Cricetulus griseus: one gene and its partner. Each later gene encodes a partner of the first gene's protein in a complex. Links are inferred from orthologs where the notes say so. Each region holds a gene or a part of one and is shown on either strand. Other genes may lie near its edges. The genes, in order: gastric inhibitory polypeptide receptor and Gip.

Region 1 (4,374 bases):
GGGAAAGGCCCCCTTTATTCTGTTCTTGCAGAGTGAAGCACCCTGGTTTTCTCCTTGAAACACGACTTACAAGTCTTCAAGTGGGGTTGACTCCATCCTTCGCTTCTAAGGCTGGATGTGCATATTTTTTTAAAGATTTTATTTATTTATTACATATACAGTCTTGTGCCTGCATGCCAGAAAAGGGCACCCGATCTCATTCAAGGTGGTTGTGAGCCACCATGTGGGTGCTGGGAATTGAACTCAGGACCTCTGGAAGAGCAGTCAGTGCTCTTAACCACTGAGCCATCTCTCCAGGCCCCTGGATGTGCATATTAACACACACACACACACACACACACACACACACACACACACAAGCACACGCGCGCTCGCGCACACACACACACACACACAAGCACACACACACAAGCACGCGCACATGCATGCCAGCCTGGTCTACAGAGTGAGCCACAACTACACAATGAGATCCTCCTGTCTCAAATCACCACAAAAAAAAAAAAGAGAGATGGCAAAATGGCTCAGCAGGTGCCTTTGCCGCACAAACCTGGTGACCTGAGTCCACCTGGGATCCTCAGAAAGGTGGAAAGAAAGAACCAAATACACAAAGTTGTCCTCTCTACATACGCTATGGTGCACACTCGCACACACACTCTAATAAAGGACTTTTAAGCCGGGTGTTGGTGGCGCACACCTTTAATCCCAGTACTCGGGAGGCAGAGGCAGGAGGATCTCTGTGAGTTCGAGACCAGCCTGGTCTACAAGAGCTAGTTCCAGGACAGGCTCCAAAGCCACAGAGAAACCCCGAAAAAAACAAACCAAAAAAAAAAAAAAAAAGTCTGGGGGCTGGAGAGATGGCTCAGAGGTTAAGAGCACTGACTGTTCTTCCAGAGGACCTGAGTTCAATTCCCAGCAACCACATGGTGGCTCACAACCATCCGTTATGAGATCTGGTGCCCTCTTCTGGTGTGCTGATATACATGGAAGCAGAATTTTGTATACCTGATAAATAAATAAAATCTTTTTAAAAAAATAAAACAAGTCTGACATTAATGGGCGATGCCTCTTCTTGATGTCCCACAGAAAAACTCAAGCTAACAGAGAAAGACCAACATGCCAAGGTGACAGAGCCCGTGTCATTTGGACACTTAGGTCTTACGCAACCTGGAGGTGTGACCTTATAGTGTAGGTTTCCATCTCGGAAACCAGCACCCCTTTCTTTTTTCTACTTTAAGCCAGTCTGAGTTGGATTTTAATTACTAACAAGCCAGAGTTCTACTCAGTACAAAGAGGTGACAAGTTGGGCTTGAAGCTCCTGAGGTGTTTTTGCCAACTCTCCCCAGACAGCCTAGCCTGAGTCCTTCACCTCTTCTCACCTGGAAGGCCCCGTTCTTCTCTGGATTCTCACACTGAGTGTGATCTCTCCAAGGCCCCCACTGGCCATCACTGCCACACTGGCGGAAGACATAGCCCGCAGCCACTAGGGGAGCAATAGAGAGGGGACCAGAGAAAGAGGTGTGTAAGCGGTTCACCACTGTAATCTCCACAATTGGGAGGCTGAGACAGGAGGGTTGCCATGAGCTCAAGGCCAGCCTGGTCCCTGGAGGAGTTGGTAGCGCCTGGGACCCAGATGGTGAAAGGATTACTGTAAATTGATCTCTTATCATCATCTCACCGCATAGCCTGTGCATCCGCACAGCCGCACAATAAATTAAGAATTGTGTGACAGAGCCCACGGAAACACCAGGCTTGACAGACAGGGTCAGGGGACGAATAGGAGCAGGAGGGTGAGCTGCCCAAATGTGGAGTCCCGGAGAGGGGTTCGGGGAGCGCCTCACCGTGGCGGTACCAGGGCAGATACCAGGGGCAGGATGCCCGGGCGGTGGTGTTGGCGGCCGTGTAGTCCCAGCAGACGTACATATCAAAGGACCCGTTACAGACCACGCCTGAAGGAGAGGGCAGCAGAGCCGGAGGCTGGAGGAGAGGGGCGTCCCAAGCTTCCCTTTCTTCCACACATACAGGATGCTGTCTCAGCGGCCACAAGCTCCTCTCACCCATCCATCCATCCCAGCAGTTCCCGAGGCTCCTCCCATCAAATAAAGCCCAACCCTGTATTATTATTCTCAACCAGAAAGCTTAATTATCCAACTCCACCCAAACCCAGCCCGCCCATTGTGGCGCAGGCCCCGCCCAGGACCCATCCCACCTCCCCGGCCCTGGAACTCGCCCTGCAGAGCTGGCTGGCCTCGAACTCACAAAGATCCGCCTGCCTCTGCCTGCCGAGTGCTGAGATTAAGGATTCTTCTATTCAACTGAATCCAACCAGGGTCCTCACAGCCTACCCGAGCCAAACCGCACCCCAAATGTCCTCGGAAACCTCCCAGATTTTCCTCTTCGGCCTCCCCCTCCTCATCTCGGCCCCTCCCTCCTGCTCGCCCAGCCCTCTCATCAGACCTGAGGGAGCATCTGCAGCCTCCAGGGTCTCCTCGCACTCCCGGCCATAGCGCTCCCAGCGCTGGTACAGCTCCCCCGTTGTCTGCCCCTCAGAGTCTGTCTAAGAGAAAAAGGGAAGAGAGGACCCCCACCCCCAGGGTGACCCCCTCCCAGGCAGCAAGCTCGATTGGGAAGGGCCAGAAGCACCCGTTTTGGAGATGCAGAGCCTCCTGGGTGGTTTACAAATCTTTTAGATGGAATAATTCTGGCGCCTAGAAAACCACCAAGGGATCTGACATGAGAGATGACAAATTTTTCAGAGCACCAAGGGTTCTGACATGAGAGACGACAAACTTTTCAGAGCACCAGAGAAGGGCGGTGGCTGCACCCCACCCACCGGGAGGACTTGTGAGGGAAGGTGTGGGTACAAACCACCAGACTGCAGCCTCAGAACTCTCCTTGAGGCAGGAGAAGGCTTAAAACCCTCCCAGACCGCCTGTGTCTCTCTGGGTCCTCACCTCCGCCTTCTGGAGGGGCAGTCCCCACAGACACAGCAGCAGAAGCCACAGGGGCATCCTTGAAGGGTGATGGAGACTGGCAGGCAGTTGGGTTGGAGGGTCCCAGGGCAGGATCAACACTTTCAGCCTCAGTCAGTGCTCACCTGCCAGATGCACACTGAGTCTGAGGCCACCCCCATTTATGCACAGGTGAGGAGGATTTGGGGTGGGGCCGGACTAGGCGAGGCCTCCAGTGGTTAAGTGCAGCCCTGATCAGCTCAGCGATTCCCAGGCCCTCCTAAGTGTTGCTGAGGCAGCCAAGGTGGAAGGGAGGGGTGTTTGCTGAGGGGCCTGTTGCCCTAGAGCTGTGACGGGCAGAAGCCTCAGTGTCAACCAGAGGCTAGACTGGAGAGACTCAGGAACCTGGGACCTTCTGGTGTGTGTGGGGTGGGGGTTGGGGAGTTGGGTGGGGAGGAGATAGAAACCATCAGTCAAGTCTAGAAGGGAACCTGAAATGACCATTTGAGTTCCCATCTTCCCAACCCAAAATGTTTTTTTAAATGAGATAGGAACCCATCTTCTAAAACTTTCCTGGCTTTGGATACATAAAGCCCAGAGTCAGAAAGACAACGTTCTCCTAGCATCCAAATACTGGGAAATTAGAGCCTGGGTTTCTGACTTTAGCATGCTAAATACTCCGCAAGCAAGCATCACCCACCCCGACCGAAAGCAGGGTTTCAGGAGGGAATCTCAGACTCAGGGACAATGAGACATAGCAGGAGATCAGAGACCAAAAGGCAAAAAAGGGCAGAGACAAAAATGTGGGCTCGGAGACCAAAAGGAGTGAGCCGGGAGAGACAGAGAGAGAATGGGAAAAGAGTGGAAATTAAGCCCACTAGAGACTGAGAGGTGAAGGGAGGGATGACCGGGCTAAAGGCAGAGAGAGAGAGAGACAAAGGTAGAGACAGAGAGACAGAGACGAGGGAGAGATAGACCCAGGGCAGGGGGTTGATGGGGACCCCTTACCTGTGCCCAGTCCCTGCTCCTAATCTCCGGGTCTCCTTCTCCTGCCACAGCTGCCCTGCCTCGCCTGTCTGAGCTCTGGAAGAGGTGACAGGCGCTGGCAGCCTGGGGTGTTGGAGGGGGCGGGGCCAGGGTGGAACAGAACAGGAGGGGGGTAGCTCTGGGGAAGAGTGGGAACTGCGGAGCAGGCACGTTTATCACAGCCACTCTGTGTCACGTAGGAGCAGCCACACAGTTATGGTCCGGCCCTCCCCCACCCCACCCCACCCCCAGCCACACAGAACACACACTCTACCGTCCAGCCACTTACACTTGGAGCCTGGCACGCATGGAGTGTGACTCTGTGAGTAGCAAGTTCATTCACAGCTATATAAGTGCGTCCATGCTGAGAAAGCCAGTTTTCACCCCCGGGCTCACAATC
Region 2 (4,455 bases), on another chromosome or scaffold:
ATGTCTAGAAAATATATCTTTGTGGAGGGTGTTAGATCTTTCTGGAGCCTTCAACATATAATTGTGCCATGTCATACTGCCCAAGTAGGAAACCATGTGACTGTAAACTCCAAGTTCATCAGAATCACTAGGGATTCTGAAGACACCCACCCCCAGGTAGCCTCATCTCTGCACTGCCACCACCATCAATTAATATCCATATCTGGGATTCAGACCACCACTGTCCCTTCTCTTCCCCCAGAAGTCACCTACGGCTTTGTGGGGATGCCCCCTCCATCAGAGAGTGCCACCTCAGTTACCCTTCACCCAGGTAACCCTTTCTATCCGCAGCACCCAACAGGAAGTAGGGCAGAGAAAAGTGGGCCCAATGCCCAGAAAAGAGGGGAAGGAAAATGGGGTGTTCAAATGACCTTGCCCACAAGGGCTGGAGATACCCAAATGTTAATCACCCATTAGCACAGCCCAGGTGGACAGGGAACCGTCATTAGGTGTGCAATAGACTTCACTGGGCAGGAGCAGTGGGCTTGAGTACCTGAGATAAGAGGCTCTCAGGCTAATCAGCGGCTCTGCAGCACCTGCATATAAAGAAGCTAAGATGGGTCTTGAAGCAAGGTCCTGAGAGCCAACGGGAGAAGGAAGGGACCCTATCCTGCCCTCCTGGAAGAGCTAGAAGAGCAGTGGGGTAAGAAAGAGGCCGGGATAGCAATGGAATAGCCTGGGAGGAAGTGTGTCTCCTGGCCCCTTACTCTGTCTCCTTATCTGTACGGGAATCCAGAAGATAGTTCAAAGGGATTCCCAGGGAGACCAGGTCTCCAAGCCTTGGGCTAGCTCTGGCCTTCAGGGATCTGGAGGAAGGTTTCTTGCTGCCTGCTGTCTCTCCAGAAGACTGAAAGAGGAGGAAGGTTTCTTGCTGCCTGCCGTCTCTCCAGAAGACTGGATTGGGTTCAGAAGAAACTTTAGGAAGAACTTCCAAGTTGCGATAGTTAAGCCCAAGTGTGTGTGTGTGTGTGTGTGTGTGTGTGTGTGTGTGTGTGTGTGTGTGTGTAGGATGGTTCTCTGTGTGGTTTCATCTAGAGAAGGGATTTGATGGCTGAGTAACAGCTTAGTTGGAAGCGGGAAGGTGGGCTGCTGTGAACTTTGTCGGGGCTTTAAGGGGATAATCTTGCCAAATCCTGTCCCTGTGATGTCTGGTAATGAGCCAGAAAGGGAGTTCCCACCACCTAGGCCTTTGCTGATTTCTTCCCAGACCTTCCACCCCACCCCACTCCGAAACCACACAGCAAGATCAGCTCTGGGTCAAGGCTCCATGCCCCTTCCAGTCCCTTCCTGTAACCCTAACTTGCTCCTGCCCCACCCCAGCTCTCAGAACTTGCCCAAGTCCCAGCATCAAATGGCCTCCTGGATGTCCCCTCAGTGCAGTACTGGCCCTTTTTCCTTTCAGCTCAGGCACTCAACCTAGGAAGATGGTGGCTATGAAGATCTGCTCTCTGCTGCTAGTGCTCCTCTTCCTGGCGGTCGGGCTGGGAGAAAAAGAAGAGGCTCAATTCAGGTAGGAGTGGAAGGTGGAGGGGGCTGGAATATAAGCTGGTTTGGGATAGGGATTGTGAGAAAGGGACTCCAGGCTGAGAGGAGGGGAGTTAAAGAGGAGAGCCAGTCTGCAGCCTGAGCATGTCGGCTTATTTATTGCGAGTTCCCGTTGAAATGAGAAAGACTGGGGTTAGCTAGGTCTGTGGAAGGACTTTTTGGTGGCAGAGAGTCTGCAGTGTAGGGTCTCCCTTACAAAAACTAACCATCATTGATGCATGCACACATTCACTCAGATCTCATAAGCGCTTCCTGTGCACTAGACACGGTCAGAATACATGTGAACCAAGGTTCACTGATGGCTCCTGCCTTCAGTGAGTACATGGACCACGGCAGACACAGAAAAGAACCATATAAACATGTTACAGAGTGCCAGGCGGTGGTGGCGCATGCCTTTAACCCCAGGCAGAGGCAGGTAGATCTCTGTGAGTTCGAGGCCATTCTGGTTTACAAAGCTACACAAAGAAACCCTGTCTTGGAACAAGCAAACAAACATGTTACTGAGTACAGTGGACCAGACCTGTGATGGGATAATATTGAGTGTGGCAGTTCACTCCTATAACTTTAACTTCAGCACTTGGCAGGCAAGAGACAAGGAAAACTGAAAAGTATGAGGCTAGCCTGGGCTACATAACAAGACCAGAGTCTGGAGGAGGGAGAGGAGGGGGGAGAAGAGGAGGAGGAGGAGAAGGAGGAGGAGGGAGGAGGAGGAGGAGGAGGAGGAGGAGGAGGAGGAGGAGAAGGAGGAGGCGGAGGCAGAGGAGATGATGAGAGTCAGAGAGGCAGAGCCAGAGCTCTGATGGTGTGTTTGGGGACCGAGGCAGAGGCTTGTCAAATAGTACTGGATTTTGTCAGATGAAAGGGCAATCCATGTACCACACAAAGTTGGCACACATGAAATGTGAGCAAAAGTTGTCAGAAATACCTACCAGGAGAGCAGACCTTGTGTTTGTTTAGAACAATGACTCAGGCCAGGCAGTAGTGTCATATGCCCTTAATCTCTGCACTTAGGAGGCACAGGAAGGCAGATAGCTCTGAGTTAGAGGCCAGCCTGGTCTACAGATCTAGTTCCAAGACAACCAGGGCCACACAGAGAAAAGCTGGCTCAAAAAGCCAAAAAGCAAAACAAAACAACAGAGGCAGGCAGTGAGTTCCAGGCCAGCCAGGGCTACAAAGTGAGACCCTGTCTCAAAAAAAAAAAAAAAAAGAACAGAAACTCAGGAAGCCAGTGTCGTGTGTCATGCTGCCTACATCCCCGGACTAGTGAGAGGGCTCAGGAAGATCAGGAGTTCATGGTGAACTTGAGCTACACAGTGAGCTTGAGGCCAGCCTGGGATACAAGAGATCTTGCTTCCCAGAACCTTAACAAACCTAAAGCAGCAACAACAACAATCCCAGAGGGTTGGGGCCGGGAAACACTCCTCGGTGGTACAGAACTTGCCTGGCATGCATGAGACTTATAGATTCCATCCCTAGAACTGAAAGACAAACAGTGCCCCCTCCCAGAAACCTGGCTCCAAATTAATTAGTGAATCCTGAATCTGTCATTTATACTGTGTGGGACCCTGTTTTCCTCATTCACAAAATAGGGACACAGAAGGCAGGCAAACTGGTGGTGGTGGTTGTTCAAAACAGAGTTTCTCTGTGTAGCCCTGGCTATCCTGGAACTCATTCTGTAGACCTTGAACTCAGATCCCTGTTTCCCAAGTGTTGGGATTAAAGGCATGCACCATCACCATCACCACCACCACCAGGCTAAGCGTGGTGAAACACTTACCTGGCATGTGCAAGGTCCTGGATTTGATCCCAGAACCAAAGAGAGAGAGAGAGAGAGAGAGGAGAGAGAGAGAGAGAGGAGAGAGAGAGAAAGAGAGAGAGAGAGAGAGAGAGAGAGAGAGAGAGAGAGAGAGAGAGGAGGAGGGCTGGGGAGATGGCTCAGTGGTTAAGAACACTGGTTTCTCTTCCAAAGGACCAGGGTTCAAGTCCCAGTACCCACAAGGCAGCTCACAGTCTAACTGTAGTTCCAGTGGATCCAACACCTTCACACAGACATGCATGCAGGCAAAACACTAATGTACATAAAATAAAAATAAATTTAAGAAAAGGAGGGGGGGGCTGGAGAGATGGCTCAGCGGTTAAGAGCACTGACTCTTCTTCCAGAGGTCCTGAGTTCAGTTCCCAGCAACCATATGGTGGCTCACAACCATCTTGAAAGAGACCTGGTGCCCTCTGCTAGCATGCAGGTGGAAGACATAATAGATAAATAAAATCTTTAAAAAAAAAGAAAAAGAAAAAGAAAAAGGAGATGAGATACAAATAGTACCTGTCTGATAGGGCTGTGATGGGATAATTTTGTGTACTAAAAAGTTTGTACAGACTGGGGATGTAGTGCAGTGGTAAGACACTTGCCTAATGTATACAAGGCACTGGGTTCAATTCCCAGTACCGAAAAAAAATATAAACCAAAGCTCTCATGCAGTGCTTGAGTCAAAGTAAGTACTCTCTGTGATGTCACCAAATACTGTTATTGTTGGTGTTGCTATATTGACACAGGATCTAAATATGTAGCCCAGGGCAGTTTAAAACTTTGGCATCTGGGGCCAGTGAGATGGCTAAGAGGGTAAAGTCACTTGCCCAGCGATGCAAGCCCGACAACCTGAGTTCAATCTGCAGAGGGCACAAAAATGTGGGAGGAGAGAAATAACTCCACAGAGGCACCCACTGGCCTGCACATGTGCTCTGTCATGGAAACATCCCATAATAATAATAAAATATAAACAACAGAATTTGGGATCCCCTTGCCTCCAGCTCCTGAACACTGAGATTACTGACACTGAGCCTTTGGGAGTTGGTTCTCTCTATCCTGTAGGT

Evidence for each region.
Region 2: the proteins of gastric inhibitory polypeptide receptor (region 1) and Gip are in contact, whole or in part, in a cryo-EM structure (PDB 7RA3), measured with the Homo sapiens proteins. The link is inferred for Cricetulus griseus from reciprocal best matches to the Homo sapiens genes GIPR and GIP. Residues at the interface, in NP_000155.1 of Homo sapiens: Gln30, Thr31, Ala32, Leu35, Tyr36, Trp39, Tyr68, Trp71, Leu88, Trp90, Arg101, Arg113, His115, Asn120, Gln130, Arg131, Leu134, Glu135, Leu137, Gln138, Tyr141, Tyr145, Arg183, Ile187, Arg190, Asp191, Pro197, Gly198, Pro199, Tyr200; in NP_004114.1 of Homo sapiens: Tyr52, Ala53, Glu54, Gly55, Thr56, Phe57, Ile58, Ser59, Asp60, Tyr61, Ser62, Ile63, Ala64, Met65, Asp66, Lys67, Ile68, His69, Gln70, Gln71, Phe73, Val74, Trp76, Leu77, Leu78, Lys81.

What each region holds. Positions count from the first base shown.
Region 1 is NC_048602.1:28,197,662-28,202,035, reverse strand, and holds the start of gastric inhibitory polypeptide receptor, read right to left. Parts: upstream 3,009-4,374; coding exon 2,952-3,008; intron 2,555-2,951; coding exon 2,455-2,554; intron 1,947-2,454; coding exon 1,839-1,946; intron 1,481-1,838; coding exon 1,377-1,480; intron 1-1,376. UniProt on the Homo sapiens protein: This is a receptor for GIP. The activity of this receptor is mediated by G proteins which activate adenylyl cyclase.
Region 2 is NC_048600.1:109,160,618-109,165,072, forward strand, and holds the start of Gip (gastric inhibitory polypeptide), read left to right. Parts: upstream 1-1,451; 5' UTR 1,452-1,463; coding exon 1,464-1,549; intron 1,550-4,455. UniProt on the Homo sapiens protein: Potent stimulator of insulin secretion and relatively poor inhibitor of gastric acid secretion.